Linked DNA regions of Macaca mulatta. The protein of the gene in region 1 binds, or shares a complex with, the protein of each later gene. Links are inferred from orthologs where the notes say so. Each region holds a gene or a part of one and is shown in the gene's direction. Other genes may lie near its edges. The genes, in order: SIN3A, SAP25 and SUDS3.

Evidence for each region.
Region 2: the proteins of SIN3A (region 1) and SAP25 are in contact, whole or in part, in an NMR structure (PDB 2RMS), measured with the Mus musculus proteins. The link is inferred for Macaca mulatta from reciprocal best matches to the Homo sapiens genes SIN3A and SAP25. Residues at the interface, in NP_001103821.1 of Mus musculus: Leu121, Lys122, Val123, Ala126, Leu127, Leu130, Tyr144, Phe147, Leu148, Met151, Lys152, Phe154, Lys155, Thr161, Val164, Phe182, Phe185, Leu186, Pro187; in NP_001075431.2 of Mus musculus: Ala208, Glu209, Ile211, Ala212, Leu213, Ala214, Gly215, Leu216, Leu217, Gln218, Met219, Ser220, Glu223.
Region 3: the proteins of SIN3A (region 1) and SUDS3 are in contact, whole or in part, in an NMR structure (PDB 2N2H), measured with the Mus musculus proteins. The link is inferred for Macaca mulatta from reciprocal best matches to the Homo sapiens genes SIN3A and SUDS3. Residues at the interface, in NP_001103821.1 of Mus musculus: Glu616, Glu619, Leu620, Val623, Arg672, Ile673, Tyr674, Ala675, Lys677, Asp680, Ile681, Ile691, Ala692, Ile695, Val696, Arg699, Met702, Lys703, Glu706, Trp707, Glu709, Ala710, Phe714; in NP_848737.3 of Mus musculus: Ala205, Leu207, Asn208, Tyr209, Leu210, Leu211, Gln215, Ile216, Glu218, Asp219, Leu220, Thr222, Leu223, Leu226.

Annotation. Positions count from the first base shown.
Region 1 is NC_133412.1:53,490,249-53,500,659, reverse strand, and holds the start of SIN3A (paired amphipathic helix protein Sin3a), read left to right. Parts: upstream 1-5,209; 5' UTR 5,210-5,442; exon of another isoform or gene 5,443-5,505; intron 5,506-10,411. UniProt on the Homo sapiens protein: Acts as a transcriptional repressor. Corepressor for REST. Interacts with MXI1 to repress MYC responsive genes and antagonize MYC oncogenic activities. Also interacts with MXD1-MAX heterodimers to repress transcription by tethering SIN3A to DNA.
Region 2 is NC_133408.1:47,775,610-47,785,899, reverse strand, and holds SAP25 (histone deacetylase complex subunit SAP25), read left to right. Parts: upstream 1-4,333; 5' UTR 4,334-4,334; coding exon of another isoform or gene 4,335-4,518; 5' UTR 4,519-4,825; coding exon 4,826-4,971; intron 4,972-5,167; coding exon 5,168-5,271; intron 5,272-5,353; coding exon 5,354-5,460; intron 5,461-5,552; coding exon 5,553-5,706; intron 5,707-5,814; coding exon 5,815-5,912; intron 5,913-5,994; coding exon 5,995-6,294; 3' UTR 6,295-6,353; downstream 6,354-10,290. Other genes in the region: LRCH4 (leucine-rich repeat and calponin homology domain-containing protein 4), read left to right, coding at 1-196, 334-433, 680-770, 846-922, 1,028-1,089, 1,197-1,313, 1,432-1,500, 1,578-1,681 and 5 more. UniProt on the Homo sapiens protein: Involved in the transcriptional repression mediated by the mSIN3A but not the N-CoR corepressor complex.
Region 3 is NC_133416.1:125,677,507-125,687,303, forward strand, and holds part of SUDS3 (sin3 histone deacetylase corepressor complex component SDS3), read left to right. Parts: intron 1-3,694; coding exon 3,695-3,714; intron 3,715-4,951; coding exon 4,952-5,108; intron 5,109-9,797.

The DNA of each region.
Region 1 (10,411 bases):
AGATACTTCTCTCTCAGTGCATCGTCAGAACCCATCTTTCTGCCAGGGTGCCAAACATCTTACACTATAGTTCTGGGCCTGTGGGCCTTGTGACCGTGCTGCCTGCACATTCTGCTGTGCACATCCAAGAATTTTACCCAATTAAAAGTCTTAAACTGTTTGTTCCATCTCCCCACCCCCACTTTTTAAAATTACTACAGCAACATATGAAGGTCCTTTTTTGCATTTACCCCTTTGTGTCCTTTGCTGAAAATGACCTGCCCCTCCACTTCTGCTGGATGAAATCTTTAAGACCCAACTTGAATGCCACCTCCTCCATGAAACCTTTCCCAATTTTCCTTCAGCGAGAAGGAATCTCTCTTCTCTGAGCTCCTATTTACATACAAACTCCTATTTTCATACACATTCCTGCCTTGACTTAGTTCTTAACGTAGAATCTCCTCGGCTGAATCTGGAGCCCTTGGAGGAGTAGAGTAAGCATGTCATCCAGTCTGTATTTGCACCCAGCAGCAGGTACGGTATGAATGTCTGCCTGACCCACAGTAGGTGCTCAGACAAGTGCCTGTTGCCCGCGGACGCAGAGCTTCCCGTTTGCATCACTCATTTTTAGGCGCCTAACAGAGGGGACCGAACACGGTTAGGTCACACAGCCAGAGGGGTCTGCCCACTTCAGCCAGTGGCCAGGGTGCTCCTACCCTCCTCTCCTACCTAGTTCCAAATGGGTTGTGTGTGTGAAGGAAGTTGGGGCCCGGTAGCCACGCTGGCTCCTCCTCCGCGTCCACCCAGCGGATCTCCGAGTCCCAGAAGGCCTCCCTCCAGTCCGAGGACCTCAAGAAACTTGAGTCGGCGGAAAGGGAGCTATAAGGGCCTCTACCACGGATGCGTCTCCCACTCGCGTTTAGTTCAATTAATTTATTTATATTTTTTGGAAGGAGGGGGCGTTCAATGAAGGGGAAGAGGCGGGGCGAAGGGCGGAGGCGGGCCCAGGGTGACTGACGTGAGCGCCGGGGAGCCAATAGCCCGTGGGGGGCGTTCCCCCCATTCAGGACTCCTCGCCTGGCTCGGAAGGTATGTTAAACAGCTGCTTTTAATTTGGTCCCCCCAATCTCAGGCGTTTGGGGGGTTAGTCCGCCGGCCGCTCGGTCTGGCCGGCCCGACGTGGTGTGGGCCCCGTGGGCCCTGGGACCGAGCTGAGGGGAGGCTCGGAGTTCCGCGGCCGAGGTAGGCGAGGGACAGGCCAGGAAGGAGAGCTCTTGGCGCCGCCCGCTCGCCAGTGTGTGTGTTTCCCAGCCGGGCCGGAGCCGTGGGGAGGGGGTGGGCCCGGCCTGGGGTCGTCCCTGCGCCGGCCGTGTTGCCTAGTTTATCTCACCGAGCAGTCCGTTTCGGTAGGTTTTGGCGGCGGACTGGAGAAGGGGCGGGCAGGAGACCCCCAGTTCCTGTTGTGCCGTTTTTTAAAAAAGAAAAATATTAGAAAGAAAAGGGAGATTCCGCACACCGACTAGAACCGGGCCAGAGCTGCGGCGTGCGGGCTCGGCAGGGGGCGGTGGCTCGAGCATGGTCGGCGGGGCCCACTAAGCTCGCGGAGCCCGGAGTTGCTCGAGAGCTGGAGTTAGCAAGCGAGCCGGGGCCCGCGGCTTTCCTGGCTACCCACGCTGGACAAGGGCGGCAGCCGCCTCGAGGGTTTTGTTTCTGCCTGCAAACTTGGAGGGGGCGGTGGGCGCGCTCCGGAGAGGCGCGGGCACTGTGGGCCCGCGGTTGTTATGGACTCTGGGGGCGGGGGCAACACTGGACTTGCGGGAGGGGCGGCCGGGGGCGGGAGAGGCCACCGGAAAGATCCCCTGCGCCTCGCCGCTAGCCCCGCGAGCTGCCGGGTTTCCAAACTCCCTGGCCTTGGCGGTCGAGTCAGCATTTGGTGCCGGCACCCGGCAGGCCACGAGCCGGCAACGAGCTCGCACCGGTGGTACGGAAAACCCCCAGAAACTCGGCGGCTTCGCCCCGCGGTCCCGGCTGATCCCCTTGCAAACATGGAGCTGCCTGCTTCCCCGCCCACCCCAAGGCGGCGGCGGCGACTGCTGCTCTCTTCCCCTCCCCCGGCCGTGCCGCCGCCGGGCTCCCCCTTCCTGCGAGATGCCGCTGCGGACCGCTCGGCGCGGATGGGGCGGGGGCGAGGGCGCGGGCGTGTGCGCGCCCACGAGGGGGTGGCCTGAAAGGGGCAGTGAAGGTCGGAAACTGGGAAAACAGTCTCCACGCTCGGAATCGGGAAAAGGAAATGCATCAGCGGGCGGGGAGGGGCGCGGGGGGCGCGCCTGTCAGCCGGGATGGCGGGCGGGTAGGCGGGGCGCCGGCGGGAACCGTCCCGGCCGGGCGGGGCGACGCCGGGAGAGGAGGCGCAGGGGCCCAGTCCACCGAGCGCCGAGCGGCCCCTGCCTGCACTCCTCGGCCCAGACTGTTTACTATCTACTCCGCTGGTGGCTTGTGCAACCCGCCTGGAGGGGAGCTGAGGGGCGGGCCCGTTTCCTCTCTCCCACCCACCTCGGGCTCGCCCGGAGGCCCCGCCTTCTCTTGTCTTCCACTGGCTGGACGAGACTCCCTTTTTTTCCCCTTCTCGGATGTGGATTGGATGACATTCTCCCGAGCTCCGCCTATCGGGAGGCCGGGCTGGAGTTTAAGTTGCTAGGATTTTTTTTCCGCGGAGGGAGGAGGGATGGTTCTTGCGGCTGACGCGAGGCGCAAGGTCCCGCCCCCGCCTCGGATTGGTGGGACGGGTAGCCCGGCCTCCTCCGGCGGAGAGAGCTCGGAGGGGGAAGTCCAGCCTTGTTCCCCGCCTCCCTCCTTCGCTCTTGAGCGCGCTCCGCACATGTGTGAGGCCCGCCTAGCTCCTTCGAACTGCCCTCCCGCCCGGAAGTCCTAGGCTCGGCGCCCTTGGCGAGGGGGGCGGGGAGAGCCGAGAAGCCACACAAAGGTTCCACCGAGGCTGGAGACCTGGTAGCCTTCGGGGTGAAGCCAGGGGATTACAGTGCGGAGTGGATTTCGGGAGCGAAGCTTCGTAGGTTCTGCAGGGTTTGAGATCTGCCCTTCGAGGCCGGGGCCAAGTACTCAAGTTCTAACCCTGTCGCTTGGCTATTTCCGCGCCCTTTGACTTCCCTAAGCTTAAGCTCGAGAACTCTGCAGACGCTGGAAGTGTTTGTTCTTCCCTAGGCATGGTAGCAGCTGTCCTTAGTTGGCTGTATCCGAGACTCTGACAACCTAGTACCCTGGCCTCGGGCCCTTAGGCGAGATCCAGCGCAGGTGGTACCCTGTGTTCACGGGAAGTCGTGGGCAGCCTAATGCTGGCTTGGGTTCTGAGTAGTTCTTGATACCATGGTGGGAATGCCCTGTGCTACTCAGTCTAGTGGTGGAAGGCGGAGCAAAGTTAAAAGTAGCCTTGGGTCAGTTCTGCTGGAGTGCCGCTTCCTCCTAACCTGGGAGCAGCTTGGCCCGGGGGTCGCTTTGTTGGTCTGACTTACTTTTAGACCTCTGTCCTGGGGCAGGGTTTGGCTACTGGCGAGGCTGCTTCCACCTGTCGGCTACCCTTGGAGTTCGCAATTCGCTGCTGTGGTTTCGCGGCTCGAAGCCATCGTTGGAGTGAGGCCCACCTGCTGCCAGAGCTCGTTCCTGGCCGTTTCCGCTGGATTGCAGAGGGAGGACAGAGTTAGACCTAGGAGTGGGTTCCCTGGGCCTGTCCCTTGGGATCTTAGCTCTCCGGGAGGAGGATTCTACTTCTTCGGGAGAGCGGTAACAACGTAATCCCGTCCCCTCCTGGCGCCGAGAGAGCGCCCCCCAAAGTAAGGTCAGCGTCAGGCCCACGCCCTATTTGGTGAATAAATAAAAGCAAACTAGGAATTGAAAGCATTTTGTCTCACTGTGCGTTCGAGGCACTGTTACCTACACAGAGAGGGCACAGGGACTATTAACACTCCTGGCTAAGGAGAAGGTGAACAGCCGTTATGTCCCCAACTACGGAAGTTTTATCCCTTCTCTGAGTGTGGCATGTTCCAAAGGTTAATTTATGCTGTGGCCTGTTTTGGTCCTTTTCTCTTCTTTCTCAGTTCTGAGGATGCCTACAGATCCACCCGGGAGATCGTGAGTACCTTGTGCCTCACGCTCCGCCTTCCGGAGGCTTGCCAGGGCGGTGGCTGTTAGGGCCCGCCTCTCTTTTGGTTATCTCCGCCCTCTTAGGCACATTCAGCTCTAGGGAGTGCGCTGGCAACCCTTGGGGTTATGGGTTATTTCTCTGCCTAGGTCTCCAGACCTTAGTTCTGTACTGTACTTGACTGAAAGGAGTTGCCAGCTGCTCCGGATATTTGTGTTTACAAGGACGCAGTGTGTAGAATGTAAACTGCAAAGATAACTGGATAGGGAGGATGAGTTCGCATTCTCATTTTTTTTGTAAGAGAGTCCGCCGGGGTGGACTGCCTTTCCTTCAAATCCTAGGATGTGGAGTCTCCGCTGATGAGCTCCGCTCCCCCTCCTGTCTCGGGCCCTGGAACTCCGAGCTTCAGTCTCTAGTGTAAACATTCCACAAAAGGACTGCTAAGGTTCAGCCTCCTCGCGCAGAGCGGAATTAAGTTCCTTCCTAGACGGGCGCCCTGGCCAATGGAGGGTCCTACCAGTGCCAAGATAGCCAATCCAACTCTTGGGGCGGGGCCTGGCCCGGCAGTGCAGTAGGCGGAGCCTGTTTCACTTACAGACATTTTACCCCACATCGGTTACTTACCTTACTGGGGCGGTGGGAGAGCCAGGGGTAGCCTTCCAATGCGATGACCGGCGGAGGCGGGAGCCAACTTGTTAGGCCTGTGGCTGAGACGCTGCGGGGCGGGTTATGTGGTGTCCTCCAATGAGACAGGAAGAGCTTCCCCGCTTCCTCCAATAGCGTTGTGGCTCGGGGGTGGGCTTCAGCAGTCTGTCTCCAATAGGCGGGGTTGAGTTAGGGACGCTCCCCGCCAATAGGGGCGTGGAGAAGGTGAGCGGCTCCCTCTCCCCTCCCAGTCGAGGGGGAAGGGGCGGGAAGTCATAAGGCAGGGCTCGGTGATTGGCTCAGTCTTTGACGGGCGGGTATTGCGTCCTGTGTTGGAACGAAGCTGAGTCTTCCCCCTGCGGGGCGGGGTCGGGGGAGTGGGCGGGATTTCCCGGGTAACAGAGAAGCGGCCGCGGCGGTAGAGGCGGCGGAGACGGTTTCTCCATCTTCCCCCCTCCCCTTCCCCCCTCGGAGTTTCCCTCCCTCCCTCCCTCCCTCCTTCCCAGTCTGGGCACCGGGGCCTGTGACCGCTTGGTTAGCGGAGAGGTAGCTGGCAGTCCGCTTCGGCGGGCCTGTGCCCCGCGCCGTTCTCAGGGCCTCCCTGCTGAGCTCGCGGCTCACGCCGAGAGGGACACGCAGTGACGAGCGGCCGAAGCAGCTTTGCGGTGAGAGCACGCTGGGCCGGGGGCCGGGCGGGAGCCTAGTGGCGGGTAACGCCGGACTCGAGGGTGTGTATTTTTAGGGGGGGCTGACCTCCTCGGCTTCCCGTAGAGCAGACGGGCGGGAGGTGTGTGGCTGTGTGAGGGGGGTGGGGGGCGGAGCAGGGTAGCTCTCCTCGCGGGAGGGGGAGGAGAGCGTAGTCCCGGTGCGCGCGGAGGGGGGCGGGCTCTCGCGCCGCCGCTCAGAGGCGGGGCCGGCGCGCGCGTGCGATTGTGGAGAAAGGGGCGGGGCCGGCTTCTCGCTGAGTGCTGTTTGCGGCCGACCACCCCCTCTCCTCCTCCTGGGGTGGGCGGGGCCTCGGGCTGGCGGCCGCGCTCTTGCCTGCTGGGGTCGGGGACGGGTAGGGGGGTCTCCCGCGTGTAGATTCAGGGCGCGGCAGGGAGGGGGCGTGAAGTCTGAGTTTCTCCGCCTTCTCGGGATCCGGTTGGCCGGAGGGGCCGTACTGATCCGTGATGCCACTCCCCTTGGCCGTCCCCCGCCTCCCACCCCGGCCCTGGGTTTCCGCCTCCTTGGCAATGAGGCGGTGCTAGGGAAAGCCCGCTGTCGGGTCTGGCTGGGAGTCTCGCCGCCTAGGTCTGCCCCGCCTTATGTCTCCGTGGGGAGGGAGGGGCTCCCGCCGACTGAGAGCTGCGGAGGTGTCAGGACTTACTCTTGTGGCTCGGTCATGCCTTCTGCCTGGGGCACAAGGGCCCTATGCCGGAGCTGCTTTCTCTGTTTGCTCCATGCAGCGTGTCTGGCACCGTGCAGCTGAGAGAGTGGGAGCATGGTCACCCCCACCACCCTCCTGGTTGTATCTATTGGGGCGAAGTGCCTAAGGTCCTCTTGTAGGAGCGTGTGTGGCTGGTGCTGGAACCCTGTTTCCGCGGTGGTGATGGTCGGGGAGGGGCAGGGAGTCATCAGAGACTAGAAATGTGGCGGAGAGAAAACCTTTCTGGGGTTCCCTCGATGTTCAGTTACCGTGGCTGTATGGGGCGGGGCTTCCTTTGAGCCAATGGGTGGTGGGTAGTAGACTTGGCGTCTGTTTCGGTGCGTTAGGACTTTAACCAAGTTAGCCTTGAAAAGGCAGTGGAAGCTCCTCCTCTTTACAAGGCTGAGATTTATAACAGGAAAGTTGGGATTTACATTTTAATCTCAAAACTGGTCTGTTTATAAAATAGGTTTTTTTTTTTTTTAAGAAAAATTCAGACTTTGAATAAAATATTCTGATATCTCTGACGCTTGTAGTTTTGAATGCTTTCATTGTGCAGATGGTTCTACTATATAAACTTAGTTTCCTGGCCGGGTGCGGTGGCTCATGTCTGTAATCCCAGCACTTTGGAAGGCTGAGGCGGGCCGATCGCTTGAGGTCAGGAGTTCGAGACCAGCCAGGCTTACATGGCGAAACCCCATTTCTACTAAAAATACAAAAATTAGCTGGGCATGGTGGCAAGAGTCTGTAATCCCAGCTACTGGGGAGGCTGAGGCAGGAGAAATCACTTGAACCCGGGAGGCGAGGTTGCAGTGAGCCGAGATCGGGCCGTTGCACTGTAGCCTGGGCGACAGGAGCGAAATTCCGTCTCAACAAACAGAAAAAATTTGGTTTCCCAAAGAATTTGCTATTGAGGTAACTATAGGTGAGAAGTCTTTTCTTTCTGGTTTTATGTAATTATGTTCGATCATCTAGACCACTTTCTATTTATAGTATACATAGTACAGTGTTCTTGCCCTTTATATTTCAGAGTAGGGTGAAGTTGTGGATCAGGGTAGCCTTCTGTATGTGACTTCTGTAGCGTTGCTCTCCAGCCTGCATTGGAGAGTTGCCTTAGGACATTTCAAATCTAACCTATAGCAGAACCACATTAGATGAGGTTTTTGCTTTCACTTGATACATTATCTTTTCCTATTGAGAGAAATTATTTCAATATTTTTCACATTTTTCATGAGAAAAATAAACATGGAACCAATGTTTATTTATGCAGTAATGTCTAAATGAGCCTGAATTTAGACATTGGTTTAAATGTCTAATTATCTGACATTAGATATTGTTAGATAATTAGTTAATTATCTGAAGTGAAATTCTAGATTTGTGCTTTGGTTAGTAGGGCCTGAGTGGTGCCCTGTGCTGTGTTTATGTGAAAAGGGTAGGTTCTATCTTGTCTGCCAAGGAAGTTGCAAAAGCAACAGCATTTTAGTTTAGCTAATGATGGCTGTAATAGAATTGATGGGGAGACAAAAAATCCAGGTGTTTTTTTCCTGATGCCATAAACAGATAGTGGAGAACTATTGACCACTGAGGAAAATTTGGTCTACATATAGTAGTTCCCATGATTTGCAGTGCTGTATACTGGGGAACACAGAAGAGTCTTTAAGGATTCAAGTAAGAACTTGGTTTTGCTGTATTAGGAGCGGTTTCATAAATGCTTCATAATCTCCAGATAATTATTTTATATACTATAATGTTGCTCAGAGATAAATAGCTTAGAAAGATTGGCACTTCGTAATTAAGAGGGTTTTAATAATTTACATACAGAGAAAGACTTTTTTTCTTTTTTAAGGAAGGAGGTGTGTAGTAATTTGACAAGATTCCTGGCAAAGTATAATTCTTTTTACATCTTCAGTGTAAGCAGACAAGACACTGGAGAGCTGTGCATGGCAGATGTTAGTACCCAGGAATTTTAATTGGAATTAAAAGGTTATGTCCATGGCATTCAGTAGTTCAGCATAGTGCTTTTCAAGGCTTTCTCACTTTTCTGGGCAATTCCACCAGCCAAGAGTTTGTTAGGCTTTACTTTCTGTAGGCCTTTAAAAAAAAAATACGTGGTATATGCTTTTTCAAAATACACCTTCCTTGCCCCTTGAATAATAAAAGATGATATTTATTGAGCACTTACTGTGTCACAGATACTGTGTTAGGCACTAGACTTTTTTTTTTTTTTTTGAGACGGAGTCTTGCTCTGTCACCTGGGCTGGAGTGCTGGAGTGCAGTGGTGCAATCTCAGCTCACTGCAACTTCCGCCGCCCGAGTTCAAGCGATTCTCCGGCCTCGGCCTCCACGAAGAAGAAGCTGGGGCACCACCACTCCCGGCTAATTTTTGTATTTTTAGTAGAGAAGGGTTTTACCATGTTGGTCAGGCTGGTCTCGAACTCCTGACCTCATGATCCGCCCACCTCGGCCTCCCAAAGTACTGGGATTACAGGCATGATCTACTGCACCCAGCCGCATAATGTCTTTTCTTCGCATAATGTCTTTTTTTTTTTTTTTTTGAGACGAAGTCTCACTCTGTCATCAGGCTGGAGTGCAGTGGCATGATCACAACTCACTGCAGTGTTGACCTTCTGGACTTAAGTGACCCTCCTACCTTAGCCTCCCAAGTAGCTGGGATTACAGGTGTGTGCCACCACACACCTGGCTAATTTTAAAAATATTTTTATAGAGATGAAGTCCTCCTATGTTGCCCAGGCTGGTCTCGAACTCTTGGGCTCAAGAGATCCTCCTGCCTCAGCCTCTCAGAGTGCTAGGATTGCAGATGTGAGCCACTGTGCCTGGTCATTGCTGGCAATTTCTAACTGATGTATTTCTTATTTGCCCCTTTTGCTTTTGTTTTCCTTACCCCCTTTTTGTCTTGTGTGCTTGTATGTTACCCATATTTTTCAGCATGACAGTAGACCCTTCATGAGTCTTCTTGGTGTCCTCCAGGGCTAGGCTTGCTGATATATGGTCTATTGGAGGATATGCAGGTCCACATCCTTTATTTGCAGTTCTGAAATGCAAGAATTTTTGTTTTTTGGTAAGTCTAGTTCCACAACTAATTTTGGGGCACAACCTGACCTGGGCTGTCCCGCATGATGCAGAAATGCTACTGCTTGATTACGGGGATCTACCCCAGCCCTAGCTGGGAGAGAGAGATGATACAGTATATGTACCATATTGCCTTTCTAAAATCCAAACAATGCTGATGACTCTCTAACGGGGATCTCTCCCTCTACCGTAGACTAATAGGTCTAGTGGCCCGCTCAAGGTCTCCACTTGATGTCTCCTCTTGGATAACTAAGAGACATTGTTGACTCTTCTCTGTCTTTTTAATATGTGGTCCATCAGTAAATTTTATTTGCTCTATATTCAAAATACTATCCAGAATTAGACCACTTGGGATCTGCATCTCCATTGCCCTAGTCAGCGCCTGTGCATCTCTAGCTTGGATTCTATTCTCCTTGTTTTGTTACTGCAACTCTTAAATCTCTTCTCAACATAGCAACCCAAGTGATTCTTTTGAAACCTGTCATACCTTGTCACTTCTCTGCTTAAAACCATCCAGTGGCTTTCCATTTCAGTCTGAGTATTAAACCTGAGTCCTTATTAAGATATGTCTGTAATGGGCCAGGGCCTGGTGGTTCATGCCTGTAAACCCAGCACTTTGGGAGGCCCAGGTGGGCGGATCAAGAGGTCAGGAGAGCGAGACCATCCTGGCTAACACGGTCTCTACTAAAAAAATACAAAAAAGTTATCGGGGCATGGTGGCATACATGCCTGTAGTCCCAGCTACTCAGCAGGTTGAGGCAGGAGAATGGCGTGAACCCGGGAGGTGGAGCTTGCACTGAGCCGAGATCACGTCATTGCACTCCAGCCTGGGCGACAGAACGAGACTCCATCTCAAAAGAAAAAAAAAAGAAAAGATATGTCTGTAATTCCGGCATTTTGGGAGCTGAAGTGGGAGGATCATTTGAGGCCAGGAATTTGAGACCAGCTTGGGCATTGTAACAAGACCCTGTTTCTATAAAAAAAATTAAAAATTAGCCAGGCATGCTGGTATGTGCCTGTAGTCCCAGTTACTTGGGAGGCTGAGGCAGGAGGATTGAGCTCAGGAGTTTTAGGCTGCAGTGAACCATGACTGTGCCACTGTACCCCAGCCTTGATGACAAAATGAGACCCTGTCT
Region 2 (10,290 bases), on another chromosome or scaffold:
GGTTGGTCCTCTTGGGCAGCCAAGCAGGATCCGGGGAGCTGCCTTCCCTGCCAGCTCCCCAGCGTGTGCTGCCCCGCACACAGGTCTGCCTGAAGGGGAAACTTCACATCTTCAAGTACTTGTCCACAGAAGCTGGGCAGCGTGGGTCAGCCCTGGGGGACCTGGCCCCTTCTCGGCCCCCGAGTTTCAGTCCCTGGTAAGTCCTAGGTGGGGAGCAAGGAAGCCCTGGGATACTGAATGCCCCTTCTTGGCCCCAGGTACCCCCTGCTTTCTGGGAGGATTGGGGGCTGCTGTCCAGCATCAGGCTGACCAGATCTCCCTGGCTGGCCCCAGCCCTGCAGAGGATCTGTTTCCGGGACATCGGTATGATGGCGGGCTGGACTCAGGCTTCCACAGCGTTGATAGTGGCAGCAAGAGGTGGTCTGGAAATGAGGTAAGGGCGTCCTGTCCATGGGAAATTGGGGGTGTCAGCCCTGGGAGAGGACCTCTGAACTGGGGACATCCAAATTGCAGGGTACCAGGCAGAGGCTGGAGCTGTCCTCTTCCTTCCCTCTGCCCAGCATCCCAGGGAGGGGCTGGCTCAGCAAAGACCCTGAGCTTAGTCCCACACAGGACCCCCCAGGCCCCAAGCCCCCATGTGCAGAGAGGCCATCTCCCATCTCAGCCTCTGCCTTTACAGTCAACAGATGAATTTTCAGAGCTGTCATTCCGGATCTCAGAGCTGGCCCGGGAGCCCCGGGGACCCAGAGAACGCCGGGAGGACGGCTCAGGTGAGTAGCAGGGCTGGCTGGGAGCTGGGCTGGACCAGGGTCCCCACTCACTTGCTGACATGCTGGCCTCCCCAGCGGACGGAGACCCTGAGCAGATTGACTTCATCGACAGCCACGTCCCGGGGGAGGATGAAGAGCGAGGCACTGTGGAGGTGAGAGCCCAGCTGTGCCTCTCCCAAGGGAGGGGAGCTAGAGCAGGGGACAGGGCAGGCGTGGGCACAGGCCTGCTCTCAGCTGCTCTGCTGTTCTCTCCTTAGGAGCAGCGACCACCCGAATTAAGCCCCGGGGCAGGGGACAGGGAGAGGGCACCAAGCAGCAGGTATCCCAAGCCCTGAAACCGACGCCACTGCCTGATCCACCCACCCCCCAGCCCCCTCCTTCCCTGACCCCAGGGTCTGCCCCTCTCACCCTGTCTTGGTCCCTCAGGCGGGAGGAGCCGGCAGGGGAGGAGCGGCGGCGCCCGGACACCTTGCAGCTGTGGCAGGAGCGGGAACGGCGGCAGCAGCAGCAGAGTGGGGCATGGGGGCCCCCCAGGAAGGACAGGTGGGACCCAGGGCCGCCCGGGGCTGTTGTCAGACACTGAGCCCTGGAAATGGGGCCACCGAGCCCCACTAAGCCGTTCTGCCTCGGGGCTAGCTGACCCCACCTCTCCTTGTTCCAGCCTCTTGAAGTCAGGGCTCAGGTCTGCTGTGGGAGGAGCCACCGCCATGTCCACTCAAGCCACGCACAAGTAGGTTTCCTGCCAGCATCCGGTCCCCACTCCTCTTCCCATGACCATCCCTCTAACTCCCTTCTGTCTCTCCTCAGTGGCCCGCCTAAGTCCAGTGCCTCCCAAGCGGGAGCTACAGTGGGGCAGGGAGCCCCTGCCCCTGCCCCCGCCTCCCAAGAGCCCCTTCCCATAGCTGGACCAGGTGGGACAGGGACTTTGGGAGGAGGATGGGGCCTGTGTTGGTGAGGGCTGGTTGGGAGAGAGGGACACAGAGGGGATGCCTGTCTCACCTGTCCCTGTTGCTGTGTCCCTGGTTCTGGCCCCAGCAACAGCACCTGCTCCGAGGCCACTTGGCTCCATTCAGAGACCAAACAGCTTCCTCTTCCGTTCCTCCTCTCAGAGTGGCTCAGGTGGGTGTCCCGCCCTCCCCAGTGCTGACCCAGTGCTTGCCAGCAGCAACTGCTACATCACCCTTCTGCCCTGGGAGCCCTCTGGGTCTGTTGTACCTTTGTGTTGAAAATTCCACAAATAAGCTGGGTGTGGTGGCTCACACCTGTAATTGCAGCACTTTAGGAGGCCAAGGTGGGAGGATCGCTTGAGCCCAGGAATTCAAGACCAGCCTGGGCAACATAGCGAGACCCCATCTCCATGTAAAAGAAAAAGAAAATCCCACAAGCAGAGAGGCAGGAGGTGTGGGTGCCAGGCCACTGGGACCCAGCTACAGAGTCAGTGGTGAGCAGTGGGGGCAGCCCCATGCCCTGCTTTTTCTCCTAGGCCCTTCCTCACCAGACTCTGTCCTGAGACCTCGGCGGTCCCCCCAGATTCCAGATGAGAAGGACTTAATGACTCAGCTGCGCCAGGTGAGCAGAGCTGGGAGCTGTGTGGGCAGGGACCTGGGCCGGGCACCTCCTTGTGTTGCTGTCCTTGGGACCAGCCTCCCTCCACATCCTCTGTGCCCACTCTGGCACCTCCCCTGAGGACAGAAGGGGACAGGCACAAGTTCCCTGCTGGCCCTGAGCCCCCCACTCTCCCTGCCTCCCAGATACCTCTCCTTCCCTGACCCCTGCTCTATGCGGTCTACACTCCCAGGTCCTTGAGTCCCGGCTGCAGCGGCCCCTGCCCGAGGACCTGGCCGAGGCTCTGGCCAGCGGGGTCATCCTGTGCCAACTGGCCAACCAGCTACGGCCGCGCTCCGTGCCCTTCATCCATGTGCCCTCTCCTGCTGTGGTCAGTTGGGGCCGGGGAAGAGGTGGGGGATGGGCTGGGGCACCTGTGGCCTCTCCCTTACCACATTTTCTTCCTTCACCCACCCCAGCCAAAACTCAGTGCCCTCAAGGCTCGGAAGAATGTGGAGAGTTTCCTAGAAGCCTGTCGAAAAATGGGAGTGCCTGAGGTATGGGGGCTGCTTTCTAAAGAGTGGTGGCATGCCGGGCTCAGCCAGCGTGTGGCATGGATGGCGGGCTTCCATTCGCAGCAGGTGTCTGCTCTCAGATGGAGGCACAGGCTGCCCCTGCCCTGCCTGGCATGCCCCCTGCCCTGCATGTCACCTGTCCTACACGTCCCCTGCCCTGCAGGCCCCATCTTGTCTTGCATGTCACCTGCTTTGCACGCCCCCTGCCCTGCATGTTGCCTGTCCTGCACTCCCGCTGCCCTGCACTCCCCCTGCCCGGCACGTCGGCATGTGGGCGTGGTTCTGGCCCCAGCACGTGAGGGCAGGGGTGGGAGGGACTGTCCTGCTGCTGCTGCTGATATCTGTCCCTTGTCCTTGTCCATCTACTCTCCTCTCCCCCAGGCTGACCTGTGCTCGCCCTCGGATCTCCTCCAGGGCACTGCCCGGGGGCTGCGGACCGTGCTGGAGGCCGTGAAGCGGGTGGGGGGCAAGGCCCTACCGCCCCTCTGGCCCCCCTCTGGTCTGGGCGGCTTCGTCATCTTCTACGTGGTCCTCATGCTGCTGCTCTATGTCTCCTACACTCGGCTCCTGGGTTCCTAGGACCCGAAATCAGCCCTCCCTTACCCCTTTCCCTCCCCCCTTCTATTTATAAGGCCCCTGCTCCACCCGACCCCACCTGCGGTGCCTTCAGCCCCGACCAAAGACACTAGTGCACCCCCTTCACAGACACTGACCTCAGAGGCCCCACTCTGGTGCCCCCAGACCCTGGGCCCCCAGCCTCTGGCCTCCCTCCGGTAGCCCCATGAGTCCCCACCTCTCAGTGCTGACGGTGCCTTCATGTCCCCGCCGGCCCTGCCCCTGCCCTCTGTGCCCCGTGAGGGGTGGCAGGAGCTAGAGTCTCCCCCTTCCTCCTGTGCCCTCCCCTTCCCCCGCAACGGCTGCTATGCGGGGGCTAAATTATCTCTATTTTGTAGAGAGGATCTATATTTGTAGGGGTGTGGGGCCCAGGCCGGGTCCCTGTCTCTGTGTATAAACTGTACAGACCGTGACCGCCTTGCCTGTGTGTGTGTAAGTGTGCGCGCGTCTGCTCCGCGTGGCGGTGGCTGTGGCCATGGCTCTGTGCCCACCAGCATCGCCCTTCTGAGATGCCAGCCTCTCATGCTCCCGGAGCCTCCGCCTCCCCCCGTGTCATCTCCCTTCTGTTATCGCTGACAGCTTTCTTGCGTCTCATTTGTCACCGAGCCCTGAGCGCATGGTGATGCTCGGGTCTGCCCCCGACCCCCTGCCACAGGCCGGAAGCCACGGGGGGCCCCCTGGGGAAGCTAACCCGGCCCCTTCCCCCAGGAGTCACTGTGCCAGCCCCACCACATCCTGGAAGAGGAGGGGGCCCCGGGAAGGGGCCTCCCCTACATCGCTGCTGTCGTCCACGCCCTGCTGGACCGGCCTTAGGGGTGAAGGTGGGGGCAGGGCCCACCCCGCCTGGGACCCCGGGAGCAGAAGACGCGCCTGGGCTCCACGCTCTGAGACAAGCACTCGGTGAGGGCGGCCTGGGCCTGGGCCCCCTTGGCCTGCGGGCCTGGCTGCCTCTGGGACCGAGGGTCTGGGTGGAAAGACCACGGGTGTCGCAGGTGTCGCGTCAGCTGCAATAAACAGAAGCCAGAAGCCCTCTGGGTGGCCCTCAGGTGTAACTGTGTCTGAGAGCACGCGCGTCGCGGGATTGTGGGGGGGGCCTCTGTATCCGGAATTCACCGCCCGGTCGCCAGGGGGCGCCCGCGGGAGCCTGGCGGGGGCACGCGCCACGTGGCCGGGAGACGCACAGGGCGCCGGCGTCGCCGCGAGGCCTCTAGGGTGGGTTCGCCAGGAGGGCTGGTTCGCGCCGCGCGGTAGAGGGAGGCTGAGCGGGCCGGGCCGGGCGGCGGGGACACTGCGGTGCAGCCCTGCGCTCTGGAACGCGGAATGTTGCCCTGGTCGCCGCCACGGTGGGGCGCGGGCCCGGAGGAGGCGCCCGAGGGACTAGGCCTTGTGGCGGGCAAGGACCAGGGCGAGCCCTGGAGCTCCGGAGCGGACGCCCCCAGGGATCTGGGGACATCCCCATGGGACAGGTGAGGGGCTCGGCCGGAGCCGCGGGGGGACAACGACTGGGGACCTCCATGCCTTCACCACGCCCTCTGCGGAGGTTTCTCCATTGTCCTTGCCGGAGTTTGGGTCCCTCGGCCTCCCTTGCACCAGGCACCCTTGGGCTCCAGGGGAAGGTGCGTGGGGGCGGTGTAACTGCAGCCTCAGTCCCTGCCCCTCCAGCCCACGGCCCCCATCCCGTAGCCCTTCCTGGACCCGGAGTGAGCAGCTGCCGCTGCCCCACCGCCTGCCAGGCCCAGCCACTGAGCAGCCCCCCGGAGCCCCAGGTAGGACGGGTCCTGCTGCCTCTACTACCGCCAAGAGCCTCTCTGACTCTGAGCCTGTTTTAATCCCCAAGTGTCCCCCCAGCTCCCCGTTCCCCCCAGGTGGCCTGGGAGGTGGACCCCTCAAGGATGACTCCACTAGCGCCCTGGGACCCCAAGTACGAAGCGAAAGCGGGCCGTCAGCCGGTGTGGGTGAGTTGAGGGCAAACCTGTGGGGCTGGCTGGGGTGTTCAGGGAGCTGCAGGGTGGCCTGAGGCTCCAGTGGTCTGTCCTCCTCACCCTAGGGGGCCAACTGTAGCTCAGGAGCCTCGTTCTCAGGCCGGACGCTGTGTCACCCCTCGTTCTGGCCGCTGTATGAGGCAGCCTCGGGCAGGGGTCTCAGGCCTGTGGCCCCTGCCACAGGGCATTGGAATGGACAGCAGGCGCACCCAGATGCAGGTACCTCCCTTGGTCCTCTGGGGGTGCAAGGCTGCCCCAACTCCTCCCGGAACCAGTGCCCAGGGGTGGGAGCCCACAGCCTGCCACCCCAGTGGTGTTTCCTTCTAGGGTTCCCGGTGATGTGCTGTGAAGATGTCTTCCTCTCGGACCCTCTGCTGCCCCAGGGGCAGCGTGTCCCCCTGTACCTGTCCAAGGCCCCCCAGCAGGTGAGAGCTCTTCCCCCTCCCTGGCCTTACCCCAGCCTCCAGGCGTGCCTGGCAGGAAACACATCCCATTCTCTCTCCTCAGGTGATGGGCTCCCTGAAACTGCTGCCGCCGCCCCCCATTATGTCTGCCTGGGTCCTCCCCCGCCTGTCACCCTCCCGGAGCCCCTCCACCGCCTGGCTCAGTGGGCCGGAGCTGATCGCTCTCACTGGCCTACTGCAGATGAGCCAGGGGGAACCCAGGCCCAGCTCCTCCGTGGCTGACACGCCCCCTGCTGGCCCCCCAGACCCTACCTCTGACCCACCAAGCCCCTGTGGTAGCCCCAGCAGTTCTCAGGGTGCTGACCCCTCTCTCCCACAGACCCCAGACACCCATTGTCCATAGCCTTCTCGGGGCAGAATGGGCTGGTTGTGTTGACAATAAAGCAGTGTTGGTTTGCAAAACAGGCTCCGTGTGGCTGGGAGCAGAGTAGGGCATAGAGGCAGGAATGGGGTCTCTTTCTGTCCCACTACAGATCACCCCCTGCTGTGTTAGGCGGAGGACGGGGGTATCCATGACCTAAGGCGTTTCTGGGCCGACCAGACAGAGCCCCTTTAATGAGTGAGTGGGTGGTCTGCATGGCAGTGCAGAGCTGAATTTATAGGAAACAAGGAGCCATAAACTGCCAGGTGGGGGAGTAAGTAGGGGCACCTTACTTTTAGGGGGCACTAGCGGTAAGATCCCTGGTGCTCCCACACCTCTTGTGCTGGGGCTCCCGGAGTTCAGTTCTGGGCTGGGTGGGGTAGTTGTTTGGCTCAAAGGAGACACAGAACGCACTGCAGGTGTGTGGGGGAGGGTGCCGGTCCACATGAATGTCACCATTGGCAGAAAGGTGGCCCCGCCACAGCCGACCTGAGACTCTAGAGATTCTTGCATGAACTCTGCAGAGAAACAGAGGATCAGGGCTTCAGCTGAGAAAGCCCAGAAGTGTGTAGTTTTGGTGGTTTGGGCGGGGATGGGTTCTAGAATTTTCTCCCATAAAATAGCCCAACTTCTTGGAGAACCTCCTACTCAAGACTTAGGTGCCACAGCTGGAAGGGACAGAGCGGGCAGAGACCCCAGCTTGTTGCCCTGCAGGTCACTTGTCCGAGGTGGCATCTGGGTCTTAAAGTCTCTCCCGTGGTGGGGGGTTAGGAGGCAGGGTGGGGGGCATTACAATACCACTCCCTCCTATCCCTGCCTCAACCACCCCCCAATCAGTCAGCAGGAGAGAGCTGCCTGGGTCTCAGGTCTCCTCACCGGCGCCTCCGGGGAGTTCTAGAACTCAATGCCTGTGTAGCTACGTGGGCGGAGCGTGCAGGCCCTGGGGACGTCACCAAGTGCCCCCAGAGAAAGGACCAGGTCCAGGTCAACATAGCTGAGGCAGCTCGTCAGGGGCTCTGGCCTGGCGGTGACTGTTCGGAGGCTCTCGGGCGGATAACTTGATGCACACTTCCTCCCCAGCCAGCTCCGAGGGGGCCAGGAGCCCAGCCAGCCCCCACATCGTGATGGGCGCTCCTTGGCCTGGGTCCAGGCTCCTGAGCCCAGACTTGTAGGAATGGTCCCCATGGGCTCGTAGTCACTCCCCACTCCCTTGGTTATGTAGCCCCCACCCTGCCCCTTGGGGTAGGAGGCTGCTGCACCCAGCCTTGCCAAGGTCTTGAGGGCTGCTTGCTCGATCCCCTCTCGCAGACACCCCTGATGGCTCAGGCCACTTGACTGGGCCGCAGAAGCCGGGGTCTCAGGGATGGGGAGTCTGAAGATGCTCATAGGAGGGTCCCTGAGCGCCTGGGCCCTGAGCGCCTGGGCCTCATTGTGCCCGGAGAACTTTTTTTTTTTTTCTTTTTTTGAGACGGAGTCTAGCTCTGTTACCCAGGAGTGCAGTGGCTGATCTTGGCTCACTGCAACCTCCGATTCCCTGGTTCAAGCGATTCTCCTGCCTCAGCCTCCTGAGTAGCTGGGATTACAGACATGTGCTACCACGCCCGGCTAATTTTTGTATTTTTAGTAGAGATGGGGTTTCACCATGTTGGCCAGGCTGGTCTCGAACTCCTGACCTCAGGCGATCCTGACCTCAGGCGATCCTGACCTCAGGCGATACGCCCGCGTTGGCCTCCCAAAGTAATGGGATTACAGGCGTGAGCTACCGCACCGGGCCTGTGCCCGGAGAACTCTAAACATGCAAACCCTTTAATGTTTGAACTTTCGGTGACCTGGGGCAGGGGCGAGCCACGGAGAAACCACAGCCACAAGCCCCCGGGGTCCCCGGCAACCCAGGGCTCGGGCGGCACCGCGCGCCTCGAGCAGGGCGTTGTATCACGCCTGCTGCTCCGCCTCGCCTGCCGCCGCCACGCGCAGGCTGTTGTCGTGGGTGTAGAGGAGGATCAGGTGGTGCTGGCGCGTCTGCGCGCTTGTCACGCGCCCGCCAGGCTTAGGCTGAGCTGGGGCCGTGCCCGGCCAGCCCGAAACTTCTGATCGCTCTCAGAAGACTCGGGACGCGGCGGGTCTGCGCGCAGGTGGCGGCAGAGTCGCACGTCTGCAGGGCAGGCCCAGGGCAGCGGCTGGCTGAGGGGCATGGTGGCCATTCCCGGCTCTCCCCGGGGCCGCCGTTCGTGGGCTTCATTCAGGGCCGAAGGCAATAAAGTGACTGCAGGAGAGGCAGAGATGGCTGGGTCTCGTGTCCTGAGCGCGGGGAGAGGCCAGCAGGGGTGGGGGTGAGTCTGGGCAGGGAGTCCAGCGTCTTGATGTCCAGCGTCTCTCCTGGGCTCCTGACTGGAAGTTTGGGGCAAGGGCTCTGCGCACAGCGAGTGTCCCAGTGGCTGCTGCCCGTGGCCTGGGCTCCCCACTACCTCCCTCCCTCAGCCGACCGCTCCTGAGCCCCCACCCCACGAGACGAATCCTCACGTCGCCCGGGCGCTGGAATTTGAGTAGGGAAGTCCAAGAGAGGCGGCCTCGACGCCAAGACTGAGCCTTTACAGGGGCAGGGAGCGTGGGGGCGTCTCTACCGATCAGCTGACTGCGGTCCGGACACGTCGTCCGGGCAACCGAGAAAGCCTCCGTGTGAGGCCAGTGTGATCGGACTTGTGGCAGCGGTGGTGGCGCTGGCGATTAGAGGGCGGTGGAGCGGGGCCTCCACGCACCCTGCCGGCTTCTGCCGCGCCCCCCTCGGCCTATAGGTGTCCTTCCTGTGTGTAACCCCTTCCCATCCAGGAGTGGTTTTGTGCCCTTCCAAGTAACCCAAGGAGCCACCATCACTGAGCACTACGCTGGATTATTTCTGAGCTGGAGATTCAGTTTCTTGAGGGTTGGGGGTGATAGGAGGTGACTTGGAATAAGTAGGTTCAGGGGGTAGTCCCTGTGCACAGACCATACCCGCTGGAACCCAGTCAGGTGGCCACTGAAGGAGACCTCAGAGGAAGAGGCCATCTCTCAGGAAGACCCCCTCGGGCTGCCCCATTGCTCTGGGCCCCTCCTCACCACCATTGCCCAAAAATGTCACCCCAGGACCACCTGAAGGCTCTGCCCATGGATGTGTGGACTTCCTGGTGGAGGTACCCTTTGCTTCTTGAAAAAATTGCGATTGGGCTGGGGACTGGGCATTTTTGCACTCAGTTCTGATCCAAGGACCACTGACCACCCCCCCCAGGGGGATGGGGGTGAAGGTGCACAAGACAAACCAGCAGGTGACACCTGGCGGGAACTTAGAGGACCCTGAGATATCACCCAAGGCGACTAAGGTGCCTAAAGGGGGAAGCTGAGAGTCAGGGAGAGGCCAACGTGCAGCCCCCATAAAGATGGCGTTCAGGGAGGAGCTCCCTCAGGCAAGGGACAAGATACGACAAAGACGTAACAAGAGAACAGAAGCAAGGACCCAGACCTAGTGCAAGGGCCAGGGCAGCCTGAGCAGGGCGGGCAGGGCTTCCCACCATGCTTCCTGCTTCTTGGGGAAGGGGCCCCACGTGAGTGGGAATATGGGAGACAAGTGCTGTGTACATGGAGCTGGGGTCCTCGTACACCTATTCCAAGGTCACACTGAGAGGGAGATGTAGGGAACCAACCAGCACCCAACCAGCATGCAGCCTTGCTCCAGGTGACCCCTGGTAAGCCAAAGCCCCACTGGGGTGCAGGAGAGGCTCGCAGCACAGGCGGTGTGGTGTGGGGTGGGGGGTGGGGGGGGCATGGGGCGGGGCTTGGCAACTGCCCAGTGGTAGGTGTTGGCCACAGAGAGGCGATGGCTCCGTAAATGGCCACCAAAACTGGACTGTGTTCAAGGCCATAGCCCCACGTGGCCAAGGGCCTTGATACAGGCACCATGTGCAAAGGGGCAGGGTCACAAAAGACATGTGCATGCCCCTCCCCCTC
Region 3 (9,797 bases), on another chromosome or scaffold:
TGAGAGCTGTTCTCCAAAACGTGTCCCAGATGTTCTGTCAGGGAGAGTTTTCGAAAAAGAGACTTCCAAACTGTGGTCATGGAAAGTGGTTTCATCTTTTGCTAAGGAATGGCCCAGTAGTGGAGGGTGTCTGAGGAGGCTCCTTGCAGTTCGGCTGTTCTCTCTGGTACCCCAAGAGTAGTCTTGCACCTGCAACTCTTGCTCATGGCCGCATGGCTGGCCTGGTGTACAATCAGAAGTGCGGCTGAGGAAAAGGATTGTAGGTTGTTTTTGTCCCATTTTAAGTTTGTTTCTTTTGGTATTCTGTGCTAGGATTGGGGAGGGTCCTCTTGTTATTTTCCCCAAGTATTATTTCTATAAGAATTTAGAGAAAAGGCACACTTTTGGTTGGTTGTATACAGTAAATCTATTCATTCAACAAAAATGAATTAAGCACCTGCTACATCTAAGCACTGTGAGCAGTGTAAAGTCATGTAACGCATTGCTTTGACTTGAGGAAACTTGGTGTTTCATTGACAAAAGATACCACATGTGTAAAGTTAAGGAAGACCGAGTTAAAGAACCATGCAGAAAGTAAGATGTGACAACTGTTTAAAGTGTGTAAACGTGAATTCCTGAGATTATAGGAAATCTCGTGTATGTGTAGAGTTTTTAACACTCATCATCGGCCAGCATTTTGGGTGCCAGCAGAGTCCTTGTTCCTGCAATGGTAGAGTAATGATGGGTTTTAGAATGCGGGTGGGGTGCCATTCCTCATGCCACCGTCATCTTTCATTCTGGGCCAGTGACTCTCCAACCCTTCACTATCTCTCCTCAGTGAGAAGCTGCCCAGTGCATACCAACAGATAGAAAAGGGGCTGAAGTGCATGTGGGCGCTGAGAAAGTATAGCCCCAGCTATTAGCTCTCTGCCTTTCCACCTCCTGCCTCTCCCTGCTGTTACCCCCATTCTACTCTGAGTTCCTGAAGCTCCTCCTTGAGATGTCTTGAAAATCCTCAACCGGTTGCTCTTCCTAGACTTCCCCTTTAGCAGATAAAGAAGGTGGCATTTGTGGAAAGAGGTGGTCTTAGGTTCAGATCCTGCCTCCTCGCTTTAGATGTGATCTTTAAGCAGAATATTTGCTCTTGAAACCTCAATTTCCCCATCTATAGAGGGGAATATTAATACCTCATGGAACTGGCATAAGATGGAAATCAGGAAAGAAAATGGATGTGAGTCATATTTCTGAAGTTAGAACAGCAGAGTGAGTATTGAGTTGTTTTTCTTCATTCTGCGCAGACTCTCAATCATGTCCTCGCGTGTTCTTTCTTTCTTTCTTTTTTTTGAGACAGAGTCTCACTCTGTCGCCCAGGCTGGAGTGTGGTGGTGCTCTCTCAGCTCACTGCAACCTCCACCTCCCGGGTTCAAGGGATTCTTGTGCCTCAGCCTCCCAAGTTGCTGGAATTACAGGCGCCTGCCACCACACCTGGCTAATTTTATAATTTTAGTAGAGATAGGATTTCACTGTGTTGGCCAGGCTGGTCTTGAACTCCTGACCTCAGGTGATCCGCCCAGCTCCCCTTGGCCTCCCAAAGTGTTGGGATTACAGGCATGAGCCAATGTGCCCGGCCCTCATGTGTTCTTTCACATTTCCCTCTCCTAGGTAAAAATGCAGAAGAGCTCCTAAATCAGTCACGACTTGAGCTTTAAAAAGCACATTCTTTGCAGAGATGATCCACCTGCTTTAGTGATGTCTGGCTGCTTTAACTAAAACCACTGCCACCTCTAAGTGCTAATTGTCATTTTAGCTTGTTGGTGCGAGGCATGATTTCTCGGAATGGCACAGAACTCCAGCTGTCTGGCCCACTTGTGCATGGTACGGGTCTGAAGTTGTTACAGGAATGATCACATTGGGTTGGGTGTGCCTGGGTTCCTATGCCCAGCAATTCCCAGTGCCAAAGTGGGTAGGATTTCAGGGGCTAAACAAATAATGAGTGGCTTGTCCCTTTCCTCAATTAATTTTCTCTGTCAACAACTATTAATCAACATCTGGGCTTTTAATCTGGGGTTCCTGGAACTGTCAGCATTCTGTGGAGTTTGTATATGTCCTTTTTTCTGGGGAAGGGATTCATAGCATTTGCCAGGTTTACAAAGGGGCCCATGGTAGACTGAGAATAGCACCCCCTGGAGAATCTTTGTGGACTGTATGCACAGCCCCGTGTCACCCAGGAAAGAGTAGAAGCCATGAAGCAGTTTTACTTCAAGTTGGTGCGGGTTTGTAGACAGGTTTGTACTCTATTGTAAATCTGGTGGTGAGGGGAGCTGCTAGGTAACGGTTACTAATCATCCGGCACATGGCAGGTGTAACTGAGTTGTTGAGTGCTGTTAGATGGGTGCTTTAAGGCATCTGAAGGGCATGATGTGTGAAGAGTCAGCAGGAAAGGCCTCAGGAGGGGGCTGCATTCGGTCAGGAACTTGGGAATGTGCATAGGAGATCAGAGGGCATTGCAGGGGCAGACACCAGTGTGAGCAGAACTTGGCGACCTGACAGTGAAACCCCAGGTGTGCCTGGAGCCTCTGTCCTGTGGATTGCCTGTGAAGGTCCTTCCTTACCACACATAGTCCTTCATATAGTGCTTTAAAAAGGGGGTCTTGGCCAGATGTAGTGGCTCACGCTTGTAATCCCAGCACTCTGGGAGCTGAGGCCGGTGGATCACCTGAGGTCAGGAGTTCAAGACCAGCCTGGCCAACATGGTGAAACCCCGTCTCTACTAAAAATACAAAAATAAGCCAGGCGTGGTGGTTCGCACCTTTAATCCCAGCTACTTGGGAGGCTGAAGCAGTAGAATTGCTTGAACCCAGGACGTGAAGGTTGCTGTGAGTCAAGATCATGGCACTGCACTTCAGTCTGGGTGACAGAGTGAGACTCTTTCTCAAAAAAACCAACCCCACCAAAAAACCAGGGGTCGCCAGCCCCCAGGCTGCAGAACACTGGGCTGCCTCCCTTCACCCAACGCCTGACCCCCTGCCCTGTCCCAGTCCGTGGGAGAATTGTCTTCCACCAAACTGGTCCCTGGTGACAAAAAGGTTGGGGACCACTGCTTTAAAACGTCATATCCACTCTGTTTCTGGAGTAATTACATTATTTCTTCTTGACCCATCCTGCTACTATGGGGACTGTTGGCGGCTGGACTGAGTGAAAGAAGGGATAAGTTTATTTTGCCAGGGGAGTTTCGTTCCTGCTGCACGTTTTTTACCCTCAGGTGGAACTGCCACAGCTGGTATGTTCAGGGCCACATACTTTTTTTTTTTTTTTTTTTGACCAGGTTTCGCTCTGTCACCCAGGCTGTAGTACAGTGGCACAATCTCGGCTCACTGCAACCTCTGCCTCTCAGGTTCAAGTGAGTCTCCTGCCTGCCTCAGCCTCTCGAGTAGTTGGGATTACAGGTGCCTGCCACCATGCCTGGCTAATTTTTGTATTTTTAGTAGAGACGGGTTTCGCCATGTTGGCTGGCTGGCAGGGCCACATTTTAACTAGACTTGAGTACTTCTTGCGTCCTTTCCCTTCGTGTATATCAACATTTCACTGATGAAAACATTTGCTCTGTGTAACATGCTTTCAGAAAGCAATTACTGCTTCTAAATGAATGCTAACATCACTGTCTAGAAAGGTGGCACAGCCTAGCAAATCTAATTACACTTTTTATCTCTTGCAGAACTCTTCCTCCAGCTGGAAGTAAGTACCACAGATCTTCTGGGTTTGCAGGCCCTTTCTGAGACTGGAATCTTGCAGTCCTGATCTGGTGGCTTTTCCTTCTATCACCAAGTAGATGGTTTGGAAGCCTTCACCACTGTTCTGTTTGACTAAAGGACATTTGGTCTCAGCTCAGACATCCTGTCTGGTCATTGGTTGTTGAGCAGCCTCTGCTTATCACAAGGGAATAAGGAATACTCACCCCTCACTGCTTATTGACTTTTATCCCGCATTAGAGCTGTTTGGAAGTCTCTAAGTTATAACGGCCTAATAGTTTGATATTGGTCCTTGAAGCAGTTCAGTCTCTGAATCGGCTCAGCGGTTCTGTTTTACAGCTGCAACTCTCTGGGCCAGTAAAAAAAGACAGATTTCTAATTTTTCCTTTCATTCTATGGACACCTGAGTGCTGGTTCTGTGTCAGACTCTGTGCTGTGATCCAGAGATGAGGGCCTGTATCTTTAGTGATGTACTGCTCCCAGGGTGGCTAGCATGTGTGTGGGGGTCACTTTTGGAGAAAGTCGTGGTTTTTCAGAGCCACATTATTGGAACCCACTTTCCTTAAATCAGTTTGATGCCCATAGTCACTCAGCTGGAAGGATCACGTGATCAGCCTGAAGGTATACTCAAGTGAGGTACACACATCCCTAGCCCACCACAGGCCCCGATGTCACTCACCACAATGGCGAGATTTGAAAAGCAGAGGCATATACAACTTTTGTCTTAGTATAATATCAATATTTGTGTACTTTGGGGTTCAGACACTTACTAAATGATGTTCCATTCTTTTGTCTTGCTGTATCAAAAATAATAGTAACTTATGCTATCTGGCCTCAATATCTTGTGATTATTTTTTGAATATACACAATGTAGAATCTCCTATTTCCCTTTGAAGCTGTAACTTCATGAGCAATTATTTACTCCCTTTGAGAAATGTGTTTTAGTATAAAATATAGGATGTGGACGAGAGAAAAATATCTGCGTAGCAAGTGAGGTATACTCAAAAATAAGCAAAAGTCATGTGGGTCTGATTTTACACATTCATTGGAAAGCTTGCTCCCAGACACGCCGTTACTGCAAGCGTGTGTGTGAGAGGGAAACTCTGTGTGTCATGTTTCTAGCAAAGGTGTTTTCTTTGCTGTTGAGGACAGGGCTAGACTTTGAGTTGGAGCCATGGCTTCCAGCGCCGTGTACTCCCAGCCTGTGTTTCTCTTTTGCTCAGACTGAACAAGTGGAACGAAATTACATTAAAGAAAAGAAGGCAGCAGTGAAAGAATTTGAAGACAAGAAGGTTGAGCTGAAAGAGAACCTGATTGCTGAGCTAGAAGAAAAGAAGAAAATGATTGAAAACGAAAAGCTGACAATGGAACTGACTGGAGGTAGGAAGGCCCTATGGGGTGGGATCCTGGGGGTCCTGAGCGGGGCTGTGAAGGGCTGTTCCAGTTACTTTTGTCTTACATCTCAAGAGCAGAGCAAGGTGGAGAGTGGGTTTTGACCTTATAAATGAGAGTTCCTCCTCCACCTTCTATTGGCTGTGTGACCTTGGTTAAGCTGCTTAACTTCTCTGAGTCTGTTTTCTCCTCTATGAAATGGGGCTGATCATACCCTCTCACAGGATTGTGGTTAGACATATGAGTGCCTAGTACAGTGTCCTGTGCATAACAGGTCTTCAATAGTTGCTAGACTTTTAATAGTAATGGCAAGCTCTGGCTTAGGCTCTACTTAATTCCTGGGTCCGCTGCCATTTGTATCTTGGTTATGTCCCCACATTGCTTACCCAAGTCCCCTGTGGTGATGGGAATCCCTCTGCTTTGTTTTTTTCCGGTCTGCCTTAATTACAGAAGAGGTATTGTCTTCCTTTGACCTAGATGTAAGAACAAAAGCTTTTGGCTCTATCTTCTGTGCTATTAGATCTCTCCTGCCAGGTGTTACTGTGAACATTTCAGAAAGACTTGATATGATTCCAACAGGATAGCTAAACTGAACTATTTTCCCATGGAGGTAGGAAAGTTACATGAGACTCAGAGCCAATCCCTTTCTAACCTTCTAGGATTTAGTAATCCACATATGGGAACTCAGCAGGTTGTAGGCAGGTTTCAGGGAGAAACAATATGGGCCGACTCTTCTGTTGCCATATGTAGACTGATGATTCCTAGAAGGATATAGGGAATTGGCTTGAACTCGCTATTTTGGAACTTGGCAAATACTGCAAGGCAAGTCAGTGGTGAGTTTGTCACTTGGATATGGAGGTGGCATGCCTTTCTGTACATCCCCAAATTTAACTCTTACAATTCAGAAAGTGCTGGGGCTCTGGCGTGTCTGATTTTAGCAGGGTTCCATAGGAAATGCATGCAATGTTTTTGTGGATGTTCTCAGGGCTGACTTTGAAATTAAAAGTAGCCAGTTAAGATCTTTGTTCCCCTCCTTATATTCCTGGTGTTGTGAACCAGCTTGGCCTTCTGACTGACACCTCTGGCTCCAATCCTCATGGTACACTTAAGAGAATGTGGTTGTGCCTGAGGTGGGGTCTGACTTTTGAAAAATCTCTCGTCTGTTAGCTTCCTTGTAGAAAGACTTGGCAAAAGAAGTGAGCTCTTTGAAGGCCTCTGAAAGCAGCTCAGAATTTTTTTTTTTTTTTTTTTTTTTTTTGTGAGAATGGATGCCAAAACACAGCTTCAGGCAGTATAGTCTTGTTCTTGTGGAAGTGCTTATTTAATTAGACCAGTAGCAACGTGGTACCTTGTCTGGTACCAGTCTGCCGGCTTTTGGACCTGCACACCATTTCCTTTGATAGTGGCTGTGACTGGCATCGATGCCTCATCGCTGTCTGCTACAGCCACCAGATGTTTGGGAGCCTTCATTAGGCTAGTGGGAAATATTATCCGTTTATAGCTGCTCCCTTTCCATCTGTGGGAAAGGGTATCATCACCTTACCTGTGATTTGGCATCCTAATTATTGACAAGCAATTGATATTGTTTGGCCAGGCAGTTTTACAGCCAGAATCTTAACTGGGACAGGAGGCATCCTCAGTGACTTGAGGCTGAGCCTGCCAGGGTAGAAAAGACAAATAAATTCAGGGAAATCATTTGTAACGCAATAAAATTGATTACAGAAGTGTTTAAAGCTAGCCATGGGCATTAAAGGTACGGATGTCCTTCCTCAAGCCATTTGGTACCCTTGGTATGGAAAGCACTGCCAAGGTAATGATGGAGTGTTGGAAGACAAGGCGCTGGAGCTAGAAGGGTAATTAGCATTTCCACAGATGGTGCTGCTATGGTGTTGGATTAAAGGCTTGATTTCATTCCTCTAATTGAGTGACTTAGTTCACCTTTGTGGATTGATGCCCAATATCATTGTTGCCCAGCTCTGCCCTGGAAAGATACTTTTTAAAGTCTCCGTTTTTGGTTCAACATGAACATCTCTTGAAAAGCGAAGTAGGATAAGAGGCTGATGAGAAGCTTGGTCCAAATAACCCACCGGAAACGGGTGTATTTGGCGACCTGCTCATTCCCACCATGACTTAAAGCGTTTACAAACCTCCATAGGAATTGGCAAGAGGTACTGTTTACCGCCCAAATCTCTTGTGGAAAACTTAGGGAAACTGGGTTGTTCAGGCAGAAATGAGTGATTGTGCGTAGAGAAGCTAGGATGAATTATGGTCGGTGCAGCCCAGCTTCAGTGTGTTAGGTCAGTGGGGTCTTGATAAAATGCGGATTCTGTTTCAGCGGCTTTGGAGTGGAGGCTGAGATCCTGCATTTCTTTCTTTCTTTTTTTTTAATTTAATTTTTTTGTTTTTGTCGCCCAGGCTGGAGTGCAGTGGTGCAGTCTCGGCTCACTGCAACTTCCGCCTCCCGTATTCAAGCGATTCTCCTGCTTCAGCCTCCCAGGTAGCTGGGATTACAGGCATACACTACCATGCCTAGCTCATTTTTGTATTTTTAGCAGAGACAGGGTTTCACCATGTTGGCCAGCTGGTCTCGAACTCCTGACCTCAGGTGGTCCGCCCACCTCAGCCCCCCAAAGTGCTGGGATTATAGGTATGAGCCACCGCGTCCACCCGAGATCCTATATTTCTGACCACCTTCCCGGGGGGGCACTGATCCTGCTGGCCAGAGCACACTTCAGTAGTGAGGTTATAGATACACTTGCCTGAGGGTGAGATTTCTCTGAAGCAGAGGCCAAGACTACAAGTAATCCAAATATTCGATGAGAACTTTATGAGCTTTAAAATGTGGGGAGCTTTACCATTTTTAATGTGTTTTTCTTTCTCTTACTCTTCTCTCCTTTCTTCCTGTAGTTCACTACCTGCTACTTCCTTTTCTTTTGTAAGTTCTTGCTCACCAGGGGCGTCTTCCAATCCTTAGGCTTCCCCAGTGAAAGCCACCTGTGACCCTAGTAAAGACTGTGAGTTTCCTTTAGAAGATGGTGGGTTCAAGGCTGGTACCACGAGTCATAACAATGTCAGAATAGAAGTCTGTTTCCCAAGCACTTACACTGAGCCAAGCATTACATAAATATATTAGAGCTAACTTTGCAGGCTGATAGACCAGGGCTGAATCCTGGCACTGTCACAGATTCAATTCTGAGGTAGGGTTTTCTCATTTGGCCAGGGGATGATAGAACCTTCTGGAGAGGGTAGCTGTGATGTGAGATGAGATAATGCCTGTTAAGTTGCTTCAGAAAGTAGCTGGTTCACAGGGTGAACACTCAGGGATTGGGAAGTTGTAACCTCACTGAGTTCCTGCAGCTCCCTTTGACCTTGGGGGTATTGCTTCTGATTTTATAGATGGCAGAGGTGGCTCGGAGAAGTGGAGCCATTTGCTCACAGTCCCTCAGTGAGACAGATAGTGGTTAAGCCAGTGTGTGTCTGGCTCCAAGCATATTCTCTTCACCACCACTACTATTGACTCTCTGCAGATACCATAGATACATGTGGTGGCACTAAGACTCACAAAATTAGGCTAATGAGTAAAGTCTGTGTCTTCCTGGAGGCTCTTTTCTGGTAGAAAGCTGACATAGCTTCCTTGACTTCCCCCAAGGTTATGTGGTGTTGAGATGGAGGGCCCCTAAATAAAGTTAACAATTTGACAGGCTCGTTTTTGACTCATTGGTATATTTAAAGACAGGGTCTCACTCCAGTTGCCAAGGGTGGAGTGCAGTGGTGCCATCACGGCTCACTGCAGTTCGACTTCCTGGGCTCAGGTGATTCTCCTGCCTCAGCCTCCTGAATAGCTGGGATTACAGGCATGTGCCACCTTACCTGGCTCATTTTTGTGTATTATTTTTGAGACGGAGTCTCGCTCTGTCATCCAGGCTGGAGTGCAGTGGCGCGATCTCGGCTCACTGCAAGCTCTGCCTCCTGGGTTCGCACCATTCTCCTGCCTCAGCCTCCCGAGTAGCTGGGACTACAGGCACCCGCCACCATGCCCGGCTAATTTTTTGTATTTTTTTGTTTAGTAGAGACGGGGTTTCACCATGTTAACCAGGATGGTCTCGATCTCCTGACCTTGTGATCTGCCGGCCTCAGCCTTCCAAAGTATTGGGATTACAGGCATGAGCCACCGCTCCCGGCCTTTCCTTTTTTTATTTTTTTTTCGTAGAGACGGGGTTTTCCCATGTTGCCTAGGCTGGTCTTGAATTCCTGGGCTCAAGCAGTCTGCCCGACTTGGTCTCCCAAAGTGCTGGGTTTACAGGCGTGAGCTACCACATCTGGCTTTTTCACTCATTTTAAAACCCTGCCGGGCGCGGTGGCTCACACCTGTAATCCTAGCACTTTGGGAGGCCGAGGCGGGCGGATCACAAGGTCAGGAGATCGAGACCACAGTGAAACCCGGTCTCCATTAAAAAATACAAAAAATTAGCCGGGCGTGGTGGTGGGCGCCTGTAGTCCCAGCTACTCAGGAGGCTGAGGCAGGAGAATGGCGTGAACCCGGGAGGCGGAGCTTGCAGTGAGCCGAGATTGCGCCACTGCACTCCAGCCTGGGCAACAGAGCCAGACTCCATCTCAAAAAAAAAAAAAACCCTAAGATATATGTGGTTGTACTACTATAGGAACAGTAAATTTCAC